3 linked regions of the Oreochromis niloticus genome follow. The protein of the gene in region 2 interacts with the protein of the main gene of each other region in a pairwise test. Links are inferred from orthologs where the notes say so. Each region holds a gene or a part of one and is shown on either strand. Other genes may lie near its edges.

What was found.
Region 1: the proteins of spry1 (region 2) and creb5b interact in binary tests that used the Homo sapiens proteins (3 or more experiments, as listed by UniProt). The two-hybrid records come from large-scale screens. The link is inferred for Oreochromis niloticus from reciprocal best matches to the Homo sapiens genes SPRY1 and CREB5.
Region 3: the proteins of spry1 (region 2) and gemin4 interact in binary tests that used the Homo sapiens proteins (3 or more experiments, as listed by UniProt). The link is inferred for Oreochromis niloticus from reciprocal best matches to the Homo sapiens genes SPRY1 and GEMIN4.

The regions. Positions count from the first base shown.
Region 1 is NC_031976.2:18,511,241-18,518,923, reverse strand, and holds the start of creb5b (cyclic AMP-responsive element-binding protein 5), read left to right. Parts: upstream 1-4,650; 5' UTR 4,651-4,736; coding exon 4,737-4,766; intron 4,767-4,840; exon of another isoform or gene 4,841-4,936; intron 4,937-7,683. UniProt on the Homo sapiens protein: Binds to the cAMP response element and activates transcription.
Region 2 is NC_031966.2:11,001,290-11,008,397, reverse strand, and holds the start of spry1 (protein sprouty homolog 1), read left to right. Parts: upstream 1-4,100; 5' UTR 4,101-4,692; intron 4,693-6,194; 5' UTR 6,195-6,244; coding exon 6,245-7,108. Other genes in the region: afg2a (spermatogenesis-associated protein 5), read left to right, coding at 1,582-1,761. UniProt on the Homo sapiens protein: Inhibits fibroblast growth factor (FGF)-induced retinal lens fiber differentiation, probably by inhibiting FGF-mediated phosphorylation of ERK1/2. Inhibits TGFB-induced epithelial-to-mesenchymal transition in lens epithelial cells.
Region 3 is NC_031979.2:1,528,618-1,536,235, reverse strand, and holds the start of gemin4 (gem-associated protein 4), read left to right. Parts: upstream 1-4,526; 5' UTR 4,527-4,678; coding exon 4,679-4,688; intron 4,689-5,315; coding exon 5,316-7,304; intron 7,305-7,618. UniProt on the Homo sapiens protein: The SMN complex catalyzes the assembly of small nuclear ribonucleoproteins (snRNPs), the building blocks of the spliceosome, and thereby plays an important role in the splicing of cellular pre-mRNAs.

The sequences.
Region 1 (7,683 bases), on a different chromosome or scaffold from region 2:
CCTACTATCAACAGCACTTCACATGCCTTGTTCTGCAAAGTGATTTTATTCTCTAAGGTAGTCTGAGGTAGAGACAGGCTGGAATTAAGTGCATGCTGCCATTTTTCATCGTTCATTAATGCATAAAATCAATTTGAAAATGTGCACAGGTTCTGAACAACTACAGCGTGTGTGCGCTACGTTTAATTAAATTACTTGTCAGAGTAACAGATCTGAAACATTTTGTGCCTTGTCATTAATCTAATCTGGAGCTGTTTTTTTCTTTCTTTCTTTTCTTTTCTTTTTTCCCCCCCATCTGACTGTTTTCAGGAGAACAGAGTGACTGATGCAACAACTTGTAAGAGAGAAACACGGGTCTCTACAATGTATATGTGACAATATGTAACAAATGTTCCTTTTTAAAGAGGCAAAAAAGTAAGTGGAAGAATTCTTTAGTTACTTTTTTTGCATCCATGGACTGTGTGGTAACTTTGAGTCCGTGCCTGATGGATGTGTAATGGGTCATAACTGGGCTCATCCAAACTTCAGACCAGTAATGGTAAAACTTTTTTCTTTTCCAGTTATGCATGAGAACACTGTGGGATATTACTATGAAAGCATTACATCACTCACAGCTTCTTGTTTGAGGAAACTGATGGATTTCTTTTAAAAATCCTGGCATGGCTTATCCTCTGTTATTTATTGACGTTTTTGCTTGATGGGTAAGGCTTCACCTGATCATTACTCTTAAGTTTAGAGATGAGGTAATAGATATGTTTGGGATTCTTTGGGCTTAGGATGTACTGAATAGACTGTTCAACCTCACTGTGGAAACACATGCAGGCAAAGTCACGTTTAACAGCTGCTCGTAAGTGACCAAACCCTTCTGTTCTCAGGGAACTGCCCAGCAAGTTTGAGCCAACCAATAAGATAATTTCCTCACTCCTACACACTACAGTAAAGAAAGGGCACCTCAGTCCTTCTGGCTTCATTTTTGCATGGAGTGGAAACTTATTTCAAACAGCTGAAAGTGAAAGCACCTCCCTAGGGACTTTATTTCTAACTCAAATCATCAGTGTGTTTATTTAAGTGATTTGTAATAGGACAGCGGGTCCTGCAGGCCAATATAAATCATATAGGAATGACTAACACAATGGAAATACCACTCACAAAATATTATCCATGCAGTGTTGTAATGTAATCTAAAGGTGTTATGATAGTGTTATTGTTAGCCTCGCCATATAACATTTAAAAAATGTTATTGTTAAAAATGTTATTAATAATCCCCTTTAAGTAACACAGAAGCCAAGTTCATTAATCATTAGACCGATAAACCTTCTCACAAGTGCTGTGCAAAAAGATCATCCTACACCATTACAAATCTCCATAGGTTTCACTCAGGCACCACCATTTATCGTCCACCTAATGTAAATATTATAGGGTCAAGTGTTTGAGCGAGAAAAAGCCACTGAGGTTATCTACTGAGGACCCTCCAGAGTATATGTTTTGCTGGCCGAGACTCCCAGGGCCATTAGAAAGCTCAGCAGAGATAGTTTGCATACCAGGACAGAAATTACTGAGTCTTGACAGTTTCAAACCACCAGCTAGCTGACTATTCATTTCAGTATTTCAATATTTAATCTGAATGCTGAAATTTATAAGATGTATGAGTAACTCAGATGTTGCAGTGGACAAAAGTAAATTTACTGGTTAAACAATTGCCTGTAGAGTAAAGGGTTTTCTATCCTTATTTTGGAGTTTAATTTCAAAACATCCCCACAACCCAGTATTGAATTTTTATTACTGCATTGTTGTTTTGCAATGCAGTGAACTATAATTACTGAACATTCTCATTTTTCAAATCACACAAATATATGCACTTTTTTTCCTTTACAACCCACAGACCTTGACATTGACAGAGTGTCAACACTGTGATATTCAGTATGTCCTGAGGTTTCCCTCACCACACAGTAGTTCCTGATCTTTAACCACTGAACAGCAAACACTTGGAACGACATTCCCACCAGTTCAGAAGAAAAATCTTTCAATATTTATAGTCAGCTAGGCTGGTATATTCTCCTGGCTTTGTAAAGATATGATTATGTTTTCAAATCAGACAGATAAGTAACTCTACATTATTTATTTATTTTTGACATTCAGACTATATAACAATTTATTCTGTTAAATAATTAAAAAAAAATTGAACATTTTCTGAAGAAAGTTTGAATCTGTCAATATAACTACTGCTGTTGGAGTTATCAGGCAGCCCTGCATTAGCCAAAAGCCCAGACTATCTTCTTTCGGATGTGAGTAAGGTTTACTTGGCTGCTTAGGTCTTATCTTACATCTTTCCCTCTGCTACAACAGTCATGGCTTGCTTGGTCTCAAATATGTGATAAGAGCTAGATGGTGAAGCCTCTGATTGAAACGTAGGGATTTTAAAACAAACACGCAACTACGGATGATCTCATCTACAAACTAAAGTGCAGAATTCCCCAAAGTGTCTGCTTTGATATATTGTTGGTTAAAATCAGAGTTTTAGAAGTTGTTTTTAAACCAAAATGTAAGATGAAGATGCACCAGTAGTGCGTGAAAACAAGAAAAACACCAGTTGACAAAGACCCACAATCATTTATTAGTTTTACATTTCTTTTTTCTATTTTTGCTTTTTCTACCCCAAATTTTGGAGAAGTATTTGCTTATATGAGCGATAACAGATAACTAAATATCTTATATTTCTGTTGTTGCACAGTTACTAAGAGCTTTATACTAATATCTCTTTGGGTGTAGTCATCTCTGTTTAAGGTATGAAGAGCAGCATTAATGTGGACATCTATTTCCTATAGCTGACTGCTTTGCAAAGTGGAATATTCATTAAAGTGCTTTATATTTTGTTAAAATTGAAAACCTATGAGACGCTTTCGTTATTAGCCTCCTTCACCTTTTGCACCTGCTACAACAAAGCATCATCACTGGTCCTTATCTTCCCAAGGTGATCTTAGCTAGAAGCATTGCACAAAGGCATAATAATAAAAGGTTTAGTATAATATAGATCAAGTCCACTTTAGTGTGGGTCACTGACCCAAACTGTATCGGCTCTTTCCAGCCTTAATAGTCTGCTCCTCTGGGAGCATAATGTTTGGATTGGTTGGGAAATATATTGGCAATAAAGAGACAAAAGGATGTCATAAATGTTGATTAAAGCTCTGGTTAAAAGACAGAGGCAGAGAGGCTCTGAGTTATGAGGGCTTTTCAGACTGCGTTATTGTTTCAGTGACAGAGCTCTTAGTGTGTCTAGTGGAGTGGCGAGTGGTAAACATTTCTCAATGTGTGAGGAGTCATTAATCCCTGGAACCGAGGATGGCTTCACTACCAGTGTCTGTGGCCCAAGAAATCACAGCCAGTTGGCACCAGCAGGTCGTGCAGAGCTCCAACATAAATGCTTTGTACTTCAGAGCTGTTTAAATCTCTTCTATGTGCTGTAGCTAAGGCACACTCTAGAAAAGGCAACAGGCAACGCTCTGTGTTTTGCACATTCAGTTCATTTGCCAGTCAAGCTGTTGATGATACATTGAGTCCTGCCAGGTTATAGCCTCACTGTGAAACATAAGCAAAATATGAAACCAGTTTAACGAAAACAAGTTTCTAAGGCCCTGACAGTAACATCACGGAGTAATACAGTATGCAGATTGTCACCGAGGCTGAATCGTAATTCTGGCAAAAAGGAACTTTCCTGTTTCTGGAATCATTAGACTTGGTCATGTATGTTTATTATAATTTATTTTGAAGAGATTCCAAGTTTCATAATTACTTTAGTTTTCTACATAGAGTTTTCCCAAATTCTACTTGAATTTTTGAATTAGCAAATTCGAGCACTGCTAGTCTGAGAACATTTGTATTCTTGCATGAAAAACACTTCACTCATCATGTTACACAAGCATACACAAGGTACATTGTAAAGGTCAGTTTCTGCTTGGTTCCTTTTTAAGGGGGACATTTACTGTGTTTCCTTATTTTCTCTCATGTACATAAATATATAATATTACAATTATCAAAGCTCCTGTGAGAGGAAACAGCCCTAATAAAGTCATCCCAGTCATCTAGCCTGATGTTCAAACCTTCTGTTTGCAAGGGGGAGTCAATCAATATAAAGCTGGTGTAAAAGAAGTGTGGCTTTTGGTAGAGGAGCTAAAACAGCTTGGTTCAGCAGTGGATTTGCTGAGAGGCTGTGGCTAATGTTCAAAGCTACTGAGTCCAAGAATAAAGATATGGAGCCTAGAATCAGCAAATATTAGAATTATTTTTATTTACTTGTAAGGCAGAAGCTTCTTATTATAAAGTTTCGATTTTGTTGGATAAAGTTTGCAGGGTCTTGATTATATTTCACGCGTGGTACTGTTTAGTGGGTTTTCCCGTTTATCGCTCTCGCTGTTGTCAGATAGAAGCTGCAGCACCGCACGTTTATTTGCGCTCATTGCTCTGTACTGGCGCTCCAGCTTTGGACCACACCCACCAAGGGCCAGCGGCGTTCATACATGCCCCGGGGCGTGCATTTGCAAACTCCGCCCCGCTGGCTCCACCTACCAGCGGACCACAATGATTTAGAAGTTCAGGAATCCCACGTGACGTCACCCAGGGTGACGTTATGCTTCTCTAAATAGATCGTATTGTAATCTTTTCTCAGTCCAACGTGGTTTCTTCTGAGAGACTGCTTCACATTTTCTGCACTTGTTTGGTAAGTTGAAAGCCTTGCCACCATGCAGAGGACCGTGCACGCGCCTCTGCAGGTTTGTTATCTTTTTATTTTTATTTTTTTAAAAAGCGATTCTTCTCACTTGTTCTTCTCCCTTTTTCATGCAACAGCTTGTTTTCTCGTTCGCTTCAGCAGTCTTTCTAAAGATGTGATTTTGGTTCATTTTTTTTCACCTCCTCGTCCAAAACTCCTTCGTCTCCGCAGGTTTGTGTCGTCCAAGTTTTGTTTGAGTGAGTGCATTGTCATGTCACTTCGCGCTCCGTGTGTTTGGCCTGTCTCGCGGAGTCAAGTGCCGCTGCAGCTCGGTCTGTCAGGTAGCAGCGGAGGCAAGTCTGCAGAAAATTATCTGAAATGACGGAAAAACGCGAACATTTTTAATGCAACAGACGCTTTTCGTTGCACTTCACACCAATTTGGCACGTCTTCTAAGTTTTCATTTAGCTCTAAATCTCCGAAGCTGGACCTCTGCATCATTGTCATGCCTGTCCCATCCAGGGATACGCAGAGCAGGCTAATCTCCGGGACTCGTGCGTGCTGCGGTTCACCAATGACTGTCTGGAAGATAATGGGCCGGTGGTTATGCTGTTACCCCAGTTTACAAAAAAAAAAAAGGGGGGGCACTAATACCCCTGTTTACGTTAAATTTATGTCCCCCTTTTTCTCTTGAACAGCAATGTTCATCAAGATTACGTCATTCTGCAGGCCAGTCGATATTTGATTAAGCGCTAAGATGTTGAGGGTTACTTTGAGTAAGGTTGTGCTGACGGTGCGCGCTTTGTGACGGAACGGCTTTTTAAAAAAAGAGAAAGATGCTTTAATTATTTGATTGCTCTCCGGCCGCTGTCATTATGTTTATGTGACAGCACTATCAATAACACATGTTTCTCGTACACGATTCCACTTATTGTGCCCGAGTTTTTATTCGGTGTGGTAATAACGCCGGTTAAAGTGTTATTTATGTCTGTTGCGACGTTTTTTCAGCATTTAATATAGACTGGGATGGAGTTTCTTTGTATGAAAGCTTTTACAATAATTTTTCTCTTTAAAAAATATGTATCAGATTGAGAAAAGTTAACTTGCTGGACAAAAAAAGCATTTTTAAAGCAAAAATACATAATCCAAAAATAGTTCATAATAATTATTAGGATTTACATAAACTTAGACCAAGTAGCATAAGCTATAGTTAATGCATTTAAACTCACTTGTTTATTCTATAATAGTGTTATTTACTAACCTTCATGGATATATGTTTTTTACATGTTAAGTTGGATTGCAGCAGTAAACTGTGAGCTGCATTTCGTGATGATTGTTTTATGTGCTTGAGGTACCCCTGGTAATGTCTGTACTAATATAGAAGGTGTGAAAAGGTAGGAAGCATAAAGGCAGTCTCAGGTCTGATCAACAAGTACACCACAGACGTTAGAGCATTTTATTTTAATACTAGAGCTTTCTTTTCGCCTTTACCTGCAAAGTTCTGCAAAGTGAACGCTAAGAATAATACAGTTAGAATAATGTGAGCAGTGCTAATCCCATGCTAGACCTCAGAGCATTCATTTTTTGATTTATGAGTTTATGTTGAGTCAGAGACCAGTAATTGAAAGCTTTTGAAGTTTATATTTCAGTCAGACCAGTCTTCTAGTCATGCATTGAGTTTAAGAGCAGAAGTTCAGTGCAGACATTGTCAGAGAGGTCCCCCGTACGTTGCCTCAGGGATCGCCGTAATCCTTCCTTCAACTTGTACTCTCAAAAGCCCAGGCTATGGCACTGGAGCTGCAGATTTGAATTGCTGTGCATGTTTGTGCTTGCTTTAACCCCATATGCCTTTGCACCCCAACCCTTCTTTTCCTCACCATATTGTTTAAATTCTAATATGCGGTCTACCTGCAGAGTTCTTCCCAAGTTCCTCTTGAAATCGAATGCCGGACCCTAATCCTTCCCCTCACTTACATCAGGATACAGTTAATGTAAAGTGTAACCAAATTTCCTCTGCTAAACGAAAACATCTATATTAAATGAGAGCCAAGTGCCCTGTCCAAGGAAAGGGCGTTGAATGCTGATAATTTGAAGTGTGAAAGCTATTGGATAATTCACAGAGGCATTCGCAGAATTAATGGCTGGAAGTTTTATGCATCATATGGTTTGAATTTCCTAGTAAATGTGAGGGAATGATCGAGTCCCGTTTTAGAAACAGGAACAGGAAGGTAAACGTTTCTGTTTTTTACAGTTATGGAAACAATTTTTCTCTTATTTTTTTTTTAATGGCTTGCTTTAAAGTTTTTATGTTTCAAGAACTGTTTCAAATTCATACTGGCAATCAAGAGGAGAGCTAGTAAACAACAGTTCCAACAAGAGTTGTGCAAACAGCTGATTCATGCTGTTTCATGAACATTTCCGATAAAAAAGAAATGGGCCTTTATTTAATACACGAATGAGTAGCGCCATTTCTACAGGCACTGTTTTTGTCATCTCGAGCTTAGTTTTATTTAATGATCAGCAGTGTTGGTTGTGTTTGTTGTGTCAAAAGAGACCAGGTGAGTTTTTAGGGGCCCTGTTTTAAAGAACTGAACTGGTGATAGAAAGACAGACCAGGTCTCATTGCTCCCTGACAGAGAGACCCTTTCCAGACCCTGTTCAAGCGGGCTTGCTCATGAAGTACAACTTGTTAGGAAAACAGGACTGCTTAGCATAACACAATATTTGACTGTTTTGACTGCGCTTAAGGAAATAGCCTGTACCTATGAAAGAGACACACATGCACATAGCGTATGAAAGTATTCATGGCTGACACTTGACATGCCGTACTGACTTATTACAGGCTTATTACAGAATTACAGATGCGCTGCGGTTCTTGTGAACTGGTAGCAGGCAGAGGTGATAATAATGCAAGCGATAAAAGGAAATGTTTTATGTGCCATTAAATGAAAATGATGTGGTCCAGTATCAGTGTTGTA
Region 2 (7,108 bases):
GGTATGATTTTCTTACTAAATTACTGCTCTGGTACTGAAGCACATCAGCCTACATGGCTAGTCTATCATGACTAGAGATGGACCGATCCGATATTACGTATCGGTATCGGTCCGATACTGACCTAAATTACTGGATCGGATATCGGCGAGAAATAAAAAATGTAATCCGATCCATTAAATATCAAAAAAGCACCTCACAAAACTTGCGACACGGCGTAACTCGGCTCATAACCGTAGCACGTCGCAGCAGTGTGCTCACGTGATAGAGCGGCTGTGTGTATTTGTAGCCTCGCTACCAAACCAGCATTTCATCTCCAAGAAAGTTATCCCAGAGAGAAGTAAAGCAAGTGTGTAAGTTCATCTCTGAATGTTTGTAAAGCATTCCCGCGTTAAGCTTAACAACCGATATATGGAGCGACTGCCTCTCTCTCTCCCTCACCTTCCTGCTGCTACTTCAATCATAAAACTGCTTAATGATCAGCTGATCGGCTTTTCTGTTGCGAGTCTGTCTCTCTTCTTTGTTTTTGGCCCACTTTGCACCAAAAAGAGGAAACCAGCGGCTGAACAACAGCAGCACGTTTAAACTTGATAAGCTGTTGTTAGAATTTATTTAATATTACTTTCTAGACCAGGATCCTTTTCTACGTAGCTGACGGCTGGTAACTGTGCAGGGGCGGATCTAGCAAAGTTTAGCCAGGGGGGCCGATAGGGCATGAACAGGGAAAAGGGGGCACAAAGACATACTTTTCTTTCTTATTCTCATTTAAAATGTCTAGCTTTTAATAAATAATTACCTGAATCTTACACCCAAAGTTTTAATCTGATGTAAAATGTATAGAAGTCCATTACTGTATATAGTAACTGTTAAGTCTAATATACCCTAGTAAGCTATAGTACTTTTTCCTTTGGGAAGATACCATCTGTGAATTCTGCAATTCTGTTGAAGAAAGATGTTGAATCTATTTAATTATTCTTGAAAAATAATTTATTTCTGTGCATTTTTTTTCACCCTGCATCAAATTAAAGTTGATTACGTCGATTAAGCATCATGAGGTGGAGGGTGGGGGGTGGTTCCGTATTTATTTTTTTTTGCTGGGACTTTGCAACCCTATTAGTTAGGTTGCTTAATATTTCTGCTAAGTACTCTTTAAAATACCAGAATAGGGAGGATGGAGTAGGTTTAAGTTTATTAGATTGATCAGTATTACTGAACTATGAAATATTTTGGGTGCAGTGTATTTTTTACACACAGGTATAACAGAATAGCTTTAGTGTTCTTGTTTATTTAAACTTGAGTATGAACTTATACAAAATGCAGCAAGATATTAAAAAAACAGTTTTATTGATTAAAAAACACACTATATCGGATTCATATCGGTATCGGCAGATATCCAAATTTATGATATCGGTATCGGTATCGGACATAAAAAAGTGGTATCGTGCCATCTCTAATCATGACATCGATCAGCATCTAAATGTGCCCCCTCATATGATTCAGTAGTGGTCAGTGGATGGAGTGCTTTGCCTGACTGCTGACTGTAACTGTGTCTGTTTCCTGACTGTGTCTGTTTCCTGTCCCAGATAACTGCAGTATGTAGAGAGGCTGCCCTCCTGGCCCTGCAAGAGGACATCAAAGCTCGGCACATCGAAGCCAGACACTTTGAAAGTGCCCTGAACACTGTGAAGCCCCGAATCCCTGACTCTGTCATCCAGTCGTATATCAGCTATCAGCAGCAACACAGTGGCCTGTGTTTCTTCTGACCACACCGCTGTGGAAAAAGTCAAAATTGGGATTTTCTTCGTTATTTCTATTAGTTTAGAGTTATATGTTTTAACTGTACCAGTCTGCTTCATTACACAGTGTTAAATGTTTTCAAACCACAACCTTAGGCCAAAGAATCTCATCAGTTTTAAAGCGGTGACTTTAAAATAACACTCTGTGTAGATTGCAGTGTTGACACTATTGCTTTATTTTTTGACTTTGAAGGATATGTTGTGCTGCCATGTTTGATCAAATAAAAATGATAATGTATTCATACTGTCATCGATCCATTCATTGTCTTTGGTTGCCTTATTTTAATCCCATATCAACAGTGGTGAGCCAGTGTGGTAGTTTGCACTGTTAAAGACGTCCAGCCGCGAATTTACAGCAGTATCAACGTGCTGAGAAAAGCCGTAAACTAACACGTCCCAAATGGCGTTAAAACAGTGCAGTCTTATAGATCTGACTGGATTTAAATACCTCCTACGCTCTGCTTTGTTGTAGCTTAGCATTCACCTATAAATCTGTCTGTCCTACATGTTTCCAGTGCCACTTTGTGTAATTTATGAGTTGTGGCTCTTCTGGATTTTGAATAACTCCTCCAGTCAAATCGCAGGTTTTTCTGCCTTTTCAGGACATGTTGGGTAAAGCTGCAATAAAATCGAAGTTGGTAAAAACGTTGTCTAACTGATTATACAGTTGGTGGGCAGTGTGAGCCCTCTAATCAGAATATTCCATATGCACACGGACATCTATGGAATTAAATAGCAGCATTAGACAAGGACCCCTGATGGTTCCTAAACCCCGAGTTTGGTGAACCGCTGCTCCGCATCCACGGGGAGAAAAAACAGCCTGGGCTGGTATATTCATCACATCTATCCATGGAAAATCAACTAATTGCTGTAATCGTGAGATTTCCGTCCGCACTTCCGACCACTGAGAGCAGGGATCCAGGCGGCCATCTGTCGGTCTACCAGGGTTTTCTTTATCATCAGAAGCTACATTTTTACATCGGGCCTGAAAAAAAAATAACCTCTAAGTCATTACTGCACCGCGGAGTCACTTTTACACTCCGCAGGTCTTTTTGTTCTATTCTTTTTTTAAACATTTGCTGACCCGAAATGGCACTGGGGGTCATTCATCTATTGATTTTTCCATTTGAATAGGATAAATTGACTTTGTATTGAACTTCCTTTTCTCATGGATCCGGATGTAGCGCATCCGCGACACCAATCAAACCAGACAGTCAGGAACAGAGAAGAGGGGGGTGGCAGGAGTGAGGAGGGGAGCCTTTCCCCCCTGGCTGCAGGGCAGCTTTTTTCTTAAGGTGGTCTGAAGCTACAGCGCACACTACCCCGCAAATCCCCACCCCACCGCTGCCCAAACAGAAATCAACACAGAACTCCTCCGATAGTGATTTCATATCAGAGAATCGTACAAACTGAACATTCATTGCCACACGTTGTATTTCCTCTGATGACACGAGTTAGTGCGTAATGGGAACATTCCACAGAGGACAGAGGACATCCTGTTGATGCTTCCTCTGTGAGTTGTCTGTACAATGACACAGCTGTGTGGGCAGAAACTGGTTGGGCTCGAGTTTGTATTTAATTCACAGAGACTAATGAGTTGGATGTGTATGGATGCCTGTTTCACAGCAGTACCGGTAAACAGCTACAGAGCACAGAAACGATGAAACTCCGGTTTAGGAGCCATTTTTCTTCAATATATGATTCGTTCTTATTTCTATAACAAACTTTTCTCTAGTCGCATGAGGTTCCTTGACATGTGCAAGATTTAACCTAATTTAACCATATTTATTAAACTTATATTTCTCATCCAAACCCTTTAATAATTAACTTTGATGTTGTTATTGTTGTTCATCCTACTCATATTTTCCTCTAAAATCCTATAAAAATATTTTTTGTTCCCAGTACAAATATATCAAACGCCCCTTTTAAAACAATATTCGGTTTATTTTTCATCTTATAAGGACAAACGTGGTATTTAGGTACACATTTTTGAAAAAAAGAAATAAATATTTATTTATTTAGCACTTTCTCAGATTCCCAAGGTAAATTCTGAATCTACGTAAAGTGGATTTCTTTCCTGTTTTTGATGCTTGTGTATGGTCTTTGTACCAAAAGTGACAACTCAGCAATGTTATAAATAAATACGGCGTTTAATACGTCACTATTAGTCACATCACCCTCATTCACACCATTAATCATAACCCACAAGAACGGAAACTAGTATTTTTTTTCTTCCCCTAGCCCCCTCGTTGAGTCAACGTTTGCGTTTTAAAAAAGCCGTTCCACCTTAACCAGTGCACACATCTCTATCGCCCGGCCTTCCACATCTGTCCAATGAATCAGGAGCGGATGCGATGTATCCTTTTTCAGCGGAGTGGCTGGCCAATGGGAGTTGGATTGTCGAGCAAACACTAAGCCCTGAGCCCCCATTCATCAGTGCTGAACAGGCCCGCAGAGCAGAAGAGAGCGCACCGCTGTCTGCAACCTAACGACGCTTTTGCACAAGAGCGCAGATTTCCCGCAACAATAACTAACAGCCAGAACTCAAATACAATTCTCAGCAGATACGCGAGGAGGAGAGACTTTTGGATATAAGCTCGCGCGTGTTTATTTATTTATTTTTTTCCCTCTCAGCCTTCTTCATCAGAGTTCCGCCGTGGATTTACTTTATCTTGGGACAGATGCACGCGTAACACACGCTGAACTTTTCAGTACGACTTAACCGAAAAAAAATAAAAAGGGAATAACGCAAAGGGATACATTCGCACTTGGATTAACAGACTGAATGTTATGCATTAGACCTCATAATCTCCAGCTGGACATTGCCCCTTCCGTTTGGATGGAGTTTTGGTAAATTATTTGGTTGATGGATTCGACGCTATGGATGCTTGCATATAGGTATGCATCTTCTTAGTGATTTCACGCTTATTTTACGCATTTTGCTTTGGTTTTAGGGCATTTGTTGCCCGATAGTAGAGCACGTAGCTACCTAGAAAGCGCCGCTGCAGCGATAAAGTCCAAATGTTTTGCTGTGCGCAAAGACTTTTCGTCTTATTTTCCATGTGTTCCCCATGAAATAAAGAATCCGCTGTGGGTTGAACTGATCGCGACTGTTTGGTGAAGTTGATGGATTTCCACGCCAGTGTTGTTCCGAGGCTGTGCTGTAACAAACACCCCTCCCCCATGGCGGTTGTTTTCATTCATAAGTTTTGCCCGTCTATTCGGACGCGTCCTGTAATGTCTCTTGATCTCCGGCTTTATAAGATCCTGTTTTTATTACTGCAAACAGCGCCTTCTCATGTGAGCGCGTTCTGTACATATGATCCTATTCAAAGTGCGCCATTTGACGCAAAGACTATTAAATGTATAGAAAATATTTTTTAATATAGTTGAAACGTGCGTTTGTTTATGTGCAAAGCAGCAAAATGGATCTTTCCGCTTTGATTGTAGTAGTTTTTATTTTTTTTTAATCGTCAATAGTTTTAAGGAGCCCTTCACGGGACAGCTAGGGTTTATGTTTTTGTAAACTGTAAGTTTCGGCCTCCTGCAGGTCGGCTGTGCTTCATAACATCCCCTAAGACTCAAGTTCAAATTCCTAATCGTATTCCTATAAATACAAATACGATATATATATGTATATTGGTTCATATTAACTTCAAAAATTGGGGGCTTCTCGGCCCTGAAATACCGTTTTAATCCGACGACTTTCCAGAGTTTTTTAACTGCAGTCTATATTTTGTCGGAACTTGATGTGACCTTAGTTTTCTAGCTCTACTTTTGTCCCCGTTTCCCTGAAATCCTTTTTGATGTAGTAATAGAATACTAAGTGAGGCAGCTCATTTAGTTCCCTTGGATCGTGTCCTCGTTTCGTCGCCGCGGTGCATTTAAATGTTAACTAGTCATACAAATGTAAATGAGTAGGGGAAGTATTTGTAGGGCCTGCTGAAGTTTAGATTTAGCCTGTTGGGGAGGAAGGTACAAAAAGTCTTAATAGTCAACTTTTTCCCGGGTTGCCTCACTTAACGGGATCAAAAGTGACATATTGTCATGTTGACAGGGTGAAAACAGTTGGTCTGGATTAACTATAAAGACACCTGCAAATATTAAACTAGCCTGCACAGATTACTTATTTGTCATTAATTTAGAATCACTGTTCAGCATCTTATGTTATAGCTGTGTAATAACTGCTATGGTATGGGTCAAGAATGATTGTAACGATATATTAGTATTAGATTTTTATTAGTATTATTTCTGAATCCAAAAACACTTGGGATTGTGTTAACCCCTCTTCCATCAGGACTGTGTTTCCTAGAACAAGAATTTTTTATTTTTTTTTGCTTGACTCTTTCTGATCATATCTCCTGCCTCTTCCTTGTCTCTTCCCCCCCTCCCTCTGGCAGGTTTTCCGATGCATGTCCACGGTGAATGTCGGAAGTGGTGATTCCCCCAGATGGAGCTCCAAAGTCAACATGGCCCTGGCGGTTCATTAGTGGTGATCCAGCAGCCTTCCCTAGAGAGTCGGCAGAGGTCGGATTACGAGCGGGAGTTCCAGCATGCCGGCATTTTCTCTCTGGAACAAATCAAGGCCATCCGCTCTAGCAACGAGTACACCGAGGGGCCCTCAGTGGTTCGGAGGCCCCCTGCACCCCGGATGGTCTCCAGACCCCATGAAAAGCAGGAGAGGACTCACGAGGTCATCCTCGTCAATGTGAACAACAATTATGAGCACCGACCATCAGGTCACCACCATCATGCTGGGGGCAGTGTGTTGGTTGGGGGACAGCAGTATGGTGGGCCTCGGGCACCAGGGCTCAGTCGCTCTACTAGCACAGGAAGCGCCGCCAGCTCAGGGAGCAATAGCAGTGCCTCCTCTGAGCAGGGACTCTTGGCACGCTCACCCCCCACTAGACCTGGCATTAGCTTACAGCATCACCACCGAGTGGATCGGCCTGTTCGGACTCAGCCGAAGCCCAAGGCCCTTTTACAGCCCCAGCAGGGACCTCAATTTTACCAGCCTCCACTAGAGGCTCCACTCAAGCCCCAGGGCAAAGGGAAATCAGACTTCTCTGGCTCTGGCAACGAGGTGGTGGCTGCTGCTGGGCACCAGTTCATCTGCGAGCGCTGTGGGAAGTGCAAGTGCACCGACTGCACAGCACCCAGGAGCCTGCCTTCATGTCTGGCGTGTAACGGCCAGTGCCTCTGCTCTGCTGAGAGTGCACTGGAGCACGGCACGTGTATGTGCCTTGTTAAGGGCATCTTCTACCACTGCTCCAATGACGATGAGGGGGATTCATGTGCTGACCACCCCTGTTCA
Region 3 (7,618 bases), on a different chromosome or scaffold from region 2:
AGAAAACACCTGACAGCGAGAAGGTCATGTCCCTATTTTCTTTGTGGCTGAACAGAACACTATGGTTCAGTGGCTTGGGATGTGGAGTGCCTGGATCCTCCTCGTACCAAATTATCTCCACATCCGAGGGTAGTAGCCATTTGCCTCACACTTAACCATCAAGTCCTTGCCCTCCTGCAATAACAGGGTGGTTCCAACATTGAGGGAGACATGGGGAGACTCTGAGGAAAGGAGAGAGAAAAATAAATAGTAATTTCAATACCTAACAGCAGACAATTATTATAGTAACTGGCCTGTTTTATTTAATTCATTTATTTTAATTTAATATTCTTTCAGGTCAAAACTGGTGACATTTAAAAGTTAAAGTTTAGATTTGGTCTGAGTTCCAGAATTATAGGAAGTCAAATTTAGTAAGATGCATTTCAGGTTACACACTTAACAGAATAATAAAAAAAATATATATATATAAAATCTCCCACCCAGGCTCCACTGAGCATGCATTTTTATCACATACAGTAAGTTCAGCACGGACACAAACAGGCACATCAAGCGTTAGATCTGGATAAAGAGAAACATAAACCTGATCATCACTTACACCAATGTATTTTGGTGTAAGTGATGGAAAAACTGAAACTGCAAGTGAATTTCATTAACATCAAACATTGTAAAGATTATAGAACATATAAGTTTTTTGCAACTTTCTATCGATCCGCCAAGGAGGTTCTGTTTTCGGTCTCGTTTATGTGTCAATCTGTCTATAAACATGAACGCTTGAAAAGTTTTAAATGAATTATGATGAACCTTGGAACTGGTGTAGTGGAGTGTAGTGGAGTAACAATCCAACAAATAGATTTAACAGTTCATTAAAATTTGCCTTCCATCCATCAATGTTAGTTGAAAATAGATTCAGAAAGCAAAAAAACAACCTAATAACTAAGAAACTGAGATTCTTAAAAGTGTGCTATATATTGACAGCATATAAAAAGTACCATATAAAGATTTCAAATATCATGTCACATTTGACCTCTTACCTTTCCTTCAAGGTCAATAGATTGATCTGAAGGTCAAAGTAATAAAATGCTATAAAGAGCTATTTAAAAATAGGTTTCTTACTCTCATTGTTTGTACTGACAACATATACAGTACCAGTCAAAGGTTCACAGTTTCTTATGGCAAGCACAATAATCAATCATTACTTTAACAACTGGAGATCAGTCAGTCTGGAAAACTGCTAAAATTTTGAATTTGTCCCCAAGTGCAGTCCCAAAAACCATCAAGCACTACGATGAAACTGGCTCACATGAGGACCGCCCCACGAAAGAAAGACCAAGAGTCACCTCTTCTGCTAAGGATAAATTCATCTGAGTCACCAGCCTCAGAAATCACGAGCTAACAGCACCTCAGATTAGAGCCCAGATAAATGCCACACAGTAGCAGACACATCTCTACATCAGCTGTTCAGTGGAGAGTGTCCGAATCAGGCCTTTGTGGTCAAATAGCTGCTAAGAAAGCACTACTAAGGAAAAGCAACAAGCAAAAGAGATTTGTTTGGGTCAAGAAACACAAGAAATGAACATTAGACCAGTGGAAATCTGTGTTTTGGTCTGATGAGTCCAAATCTGAGATGTTTGGTTCCACCCACCGTCTATTTGTGTGACACAGAAAAGGTGAACAGGTCTCTACATGCATGGTTCCCACTGTGAAGCATGGAGGAGGTGGTGTGATGGTTAGGGGGTGCTTTGCTGGTGTCACTGTTGGGGACTTATTCAAAATGGAAGGCACACTGAACCAGCATGGCTATCACAGCATCCTGTAGCAACATGCCATCCCATCCGGTTTGCTATTAGTTGGACCGTCATTTATTTTTCAAATTAAATGAGAAGGTGTGTCCAAACTTTTGACTGGTAGTATAGACATATAGGGAATGGTCCAAACCTATGTACCTTGAATCTGCAGATATATATCCACCTTGGCGAACAGTGGATTCACGGACACTGAACAAATGTAGGTCCCTTCACTGATCATCGTGGTGGAGGCGAGGATGTAGGAGGCATCTCCAGCCGCAAGGGCATGTAGTCCGACACCGCTCCCCTTGGTCTGTCCTGTGCGCCTGTTGTAACTGAAGAGCTCAGTCCTCTCACCAGGGCGGTGCCTATGCCACTCTACGGTGACCTTTGCACCCTTGTGGTCGACATCAAACTGGCAGTGGAGCTTTTGCTGGAACTTCAGGCGTGCTTTAACTGAGGGAGTCTGTGTTTTGATGACCATGGCGACTGCAGAAACAGATGTGACAAACAACACAAGTGTCCTTTACTCAAATAGGTGACAACCACTTCCTGTATCTATGACATGACAATTATTTGGCCATCCACCATTCCAAGTCAATATAACTATAACTGTCTCTCTCTATTTCTACTCTAATCTCCGAGACACAAACACAGTTTCTTTCAGCACTCTGTCCTTAAATGTCTGCTACTGCAACAGGCAGGCAATTAAATAAAACCCCTAGGAGATAGTCTGTGGGGCTCAACAAAAACACACCATCCTCACATGTGAGTTTACCTGCGGTGGTGAGTACCTCTTTGTCAGCAATGACAGACCAGTTGTGGTAGTCTGGCTGCCCTGGGGGAGGCTGGTCAGAGGGGTGTCTGAGGGAGCCAGCGACTGCGAAGCGGCCCCTGCTGTGTCTGAGGATGCAGGTAAACCAGTGGTTGTACTCCCGGGCACCGAGGACAGGCCAGCGAATGTAAGTGCCCTCTGTGCTGTATCTGTGCAGCTCACACTTCAGCTGCTCTGCCTCCACCCCCTCCACATACTGCAGCAGATCCAACTTTGATCCTAGAAGATGATAAAATAAACACTAACACATTGTTGTTGTTTTTTCAGCCTTCTTCTCATGCAGGCTGCAGTAACTCACTGGTGACCAGGAAAGTGATGGCGTTTGGGTTAACAGGAGCATCTCCTTTCTGACCAAACTGAAGTATAGCCTCTCTGGGGATGACCCGGGTTTCAGTGTGGTTGTCCTTGTTCAAATACAAACGCTCATCAATGAAGTAACAAGGCAGCCACTGGATCTGATGGACACTCCACACACCTGAATGACACGAATACTTCAGTCAGACAGCATAGCCGTTGGAATTCATGCGGTAGACTAGAATATCTATAGTCACTTTTGACCTAACACGCACAAGCTGACCTAAGCTAATCTGTGACAACGTGTTGCACTATAACTCACCTGCACTTAGATACAAGTAAAAAAGTATCCTCAAGATTAAAACCGTCATTCTTTCCCGGTGCCCTCCACTGTCGGACTCCTTGTTGTCTGATGTCCACACAAAGTTTCTCTTGATACTTTCACTTTCATTTCAAAGGAAAAAGAAAAAAGGAGTGCGATTTCTGGCGTGATGAGCAGCTCGAAAACCAAACCTTTAAAATAAAAACCCTTAATCATAATCAAAAAAGTTAATAAAATCCAGAATATATGCTAGAAAAAAAAATAAATAAATAAAAAATCAGGATACAACGTCCTAGTTCTTTTTACAGCGTTCCTGTTTTCATGTTAGACGTAACATTATTGTAGCTGGAGCCTATCCCAGCTGCCACGTGGCCAGAGGTCTGTCTGGTAGGAAGACTGTGGTAGGTGCATATTTTACTTTATCCATTACCACACAAACGGACTCTAAACTGTGAGCGGTACCCGGTGTACTTGGAGTCATGGGGCAAATGTACTCCATACTCAGGATTACTGAAATGTGACTATGTGAACCACCGCACCACACAGTTTAATAAATAGTTCACAGCAGTTCATGAGGAGTCAACAGCTTGCAACAGGTCCTTTTGCTTTTGACTTTATATAAAACTCGTAGTACTGACTTTGCCCTGAGGTGTCGCTGTGAGCGCATGACGACAGCAGCCTTACTAGTCTTTCCGACACCAGAGCTGATGGACGAGAACCATGTCACTTCCTGTTAATCTCGTTTTACAGAAATTCACTATTTAGTTCACCTGAAAGTCCTGAAATAATAGCAGTGAATGTAGCCAAAGCACTCAAATAATTATTTCTCCATGCCCGATTTTAGGTCTAACAATCTACATCATACGTTATTTAGATATTGGGAGCGTAGTTAAACCACAACAAAACCTATCATGCATATGAGAACTGCTTGTGGTGGTCGAAGGTGATTACTGTCTGGAAGTTACTGCCAGAAGTTTTCCGCGGCTGTTTGTTTCATGCCTGAAAGCAAAGTAGTCGATGCATTATGCGGCTCTTGGTGCTGTTTGTATTACACCGAAATGTTGGAATCCCATAAAAAATGTGAAAATGGAGCTATATCTATTAACTATTAAGGAAAATATTTAAAAAAAAACAACAACAACAACAATAACCAAAATTGACATTCTGGGGCTACAGAGCCATAGAACTCTATTCATTCTGCCATATGCTTAGAGCGCCCTCTATGAAACCGGAAATCCACAGAGTGGGAGTTCTTGATCATGAATTCTCTCTGGTTGTACACGCTGATGCTAACAGCGGAAGCGCTTTATACAAAGTTGGTGTCACTCTGATAGAAACCTTTGCTGGGAGGTAGTTTCGTGTTTGCTCTCTACTTCATTGGAACTAAAATTAGCAAACTAGCTTCTTAGCATCCAGGTCCACTCTGCAGCTTTGACACTAATAATGAACAAAGGTAACCGCTACACTTCTCACGTTCTCATACAGAAAACACGAGTCACAATTTCTCTTATGCTGTAGTAAATGTTGCGTGTGCTAAAAGAAAATAACAGCAAACCGTGATTTTTCGCCATAATCAAACCCCCCCCCCCAAAAAAAAAATTAAATAGTATCAGCTTTAGCAGTTTAAGAGGTAATGCTGTTCTCTAACCGCTCTGCTGCATGTGTGTGAGAATGACAGAACAGCGACATTTTATTCTATATATATTTATATAGCTTGTATTAATTCTGTGTGGAACTGAAAAATACACACTAATACCTTATTCTACAGAGTGTGGCTGTTCATATAAAAGATCACGATTTAAAATAATGAGATACAAGTAACCTCTCTGAGCTCAGGCTTCACACCATGTTCCTTCCACTGTCAACTTTAGATGAGCCAGAGTTGAACTTCAGCTTATCCCCAGTCAAAAGCCATTTTCAAAGTGGCATTTTTTGGTCTTAAGATCAAATGTGTTGTTTTTTGCGCATCTTTGCCATTTTAGGCTAATTTAAGGAGCTGAGAGGACAGTTAAAAATTAAAAAAAAAATCAATTTCCTCTGGCAAATATGAGTTTTGATGCCTTTTCTCTTGTTCTTTCAGATTCGACAGTACTTCAGGGAGCTTTCCTCCTGGCTGATAAGCTGTGTTCCCCCTCATGCCTGTCCACCATTCAGAAAGCAGACTGGAGCCGGGTGGGACATGTGATCCTGGAAGCACTCAAAGAAATCTGCAGACAGGATGAAGTCAGTGACTGTCCCAACCGAGCAGCCGAGAGCTGGAAGAAGAGGATGGTTTGTGTTGTGTGGCTGAAGCTGCTGTGCAGAGAGGCTGAGGAGAACGTTGAGTTGGCTTGGAGGGAGAACCCTTTCTTCTCTCTCCAGAACAGCCTCCCTAAGGTCAGCCGTGTCGTCCTGCTGGAGCTGGTGAAGTCAGCAGCAGCTGCGGGTGTTTTTGCCAGTTTCCTCCTGCGTCTTCCTCACGCTCAAATCTGTGCTGAGCTGGAAAGGCTGGTGGAACATGTGAGGAGCGATCCCGTAGGGGAAGACGATATCCGACTCCTTCTGGAGGTTTGGTGGGAGCTGTGGAAAGGCAGAGCGGAAGAGAAGGTTGGAGAAGAAGAGAGCATAGAGAAGATGTTTGCCAGCCAGCTTGCTCACCTCTCCTCTGAGTCCTCCAGTCTGTCCCCTCAGGCTGCAAAGAGGTTAAAGTTAGACACGCCAGATTCAGCAGATATTCTGCACATTCTCCTTCACGCGCTTAAAGGCATGAAATGTCACATATCCTCAGCTGACCTCTGCTTTCAGTCCTTATCCATTTCCCTCGATGCTCTTTACACAACCTTCCTGATAGACCAAAACGTGGTGCTTCCAGCTAAAGAGAAGTTGGACTGTTTGTGTAAAATCCTCCAAGCCAGAGAGGAGAACATGGAGAAGCTGAGTCCTGAAATGATTCAGGAAGCTCTGAAAGACTTGCGTGCTTCTCACACACCTTCTCAGTTTCAGCTGTGCCAGATGAAGCTGAGTGAAGCCCTGAAGATTATCACAGAGCTTGCACAGTTTTGGCAAAGCAGTGTTCTCAATCAATGTGACCACTCCAGTCCTAGTTACTCTGCTTTCCTGCTAGAACAAAGCATCCAGAGGGTCCTGGCTTCTCTAGAGGAAGCACCCGGAGCTGGGACTGACGACTTTGAAGGAGAGAATGATACACTCAGAGGTGTGCTGAAGTCACTGTCCCTCCCTGTAGCAGAGAGCAGCCCTGAAGTGAGCGCAGAGGTCGCTGCTGTCATTATCACCCATCACCTGGAAGACTCTGAGGACTTTGCAGTGTTGTTTGCCAGTGAGCCATCATGGGCAGAACGTGCGGATCGCTGGCTCGACTGCCTGGAAAAAAACCAGGGGGCCTTCCGGCAGCACGGTACCCTCATGAGCCTCGCCTCCACCCTAATGAGCAGACTCCATAGCAAGAGCGCTAACGTGAAGCAGTGCCACAAACTGCTGAAAATCGCTTCAGGTATTTTCTCCACACTCACATTAGAAGACCAGAACAAAGCGTTGGCTGCCATGCTGAGATTATCCAGCAGGGGGTTCTTCGAGTGCTCTGTACCTGCTGCTCTAGCTGACGGGTTTGAACAGGAGCTCAACATGGCCTTCAATTGCATCATTCAGGGGGCGGGCGGAGCTTCAGCGGGAGCTTCACAGGGCAACCTGACTACGGCAGCCTCTCTAGTTGCAAGAGTAGCCTTTCAGAACCCCGAAGCCACTTTGAGGTCCTGCTGTCATTCGGCTGTTTTTAACAAAGGAGCTTTCTCTCTAATGGCTAAGATCCTGGAACAGCTGCCAGGACTCAGAGACCAGAGGGGAAGAAGAAATGGAGGGAGAAAAAAGGTGGTGTGCAATTTACTTGGCAAGTGTTTACAGGACGTGATCCAGACCAAGTCACTGTCAGCAACTGAAAAAGAACAGTTCCTCAAGTTCCTGAGTCTGCTCATGGAGCCCGTCACTTCAGCTGAGGGAGAAGGAAAGAGGGAAAGCATTCTGTCACCTCAGGAAGTCGTGAACACCTTTGTCCTGCCTAACCTCTCAGCTACAGGTGAGTCTCACATGTTTATGTTTACCACAACCTACATTAGCTAATTTCTTAACATTTTACAGTTGTGATCAAAAGTTTAGAGCCACTCATCATGGATATGAATATCATGGCAAGTCTGGGCTTTTAACATTTTCAGGGTGGAATGATTGTACAGCATACATGTGTAATGACTTTGAAAAAAACAAAACAAGAATTGGATCCACAAGTTTTAATTTATTTTCACTGATCCTGACAGGGTCAAAATTCTAAATGTTAAATGAAAAGGTTAAGTGTACCGTAGCAAGTTGCATCTTCATCAGAAACTTTTAGTTGTT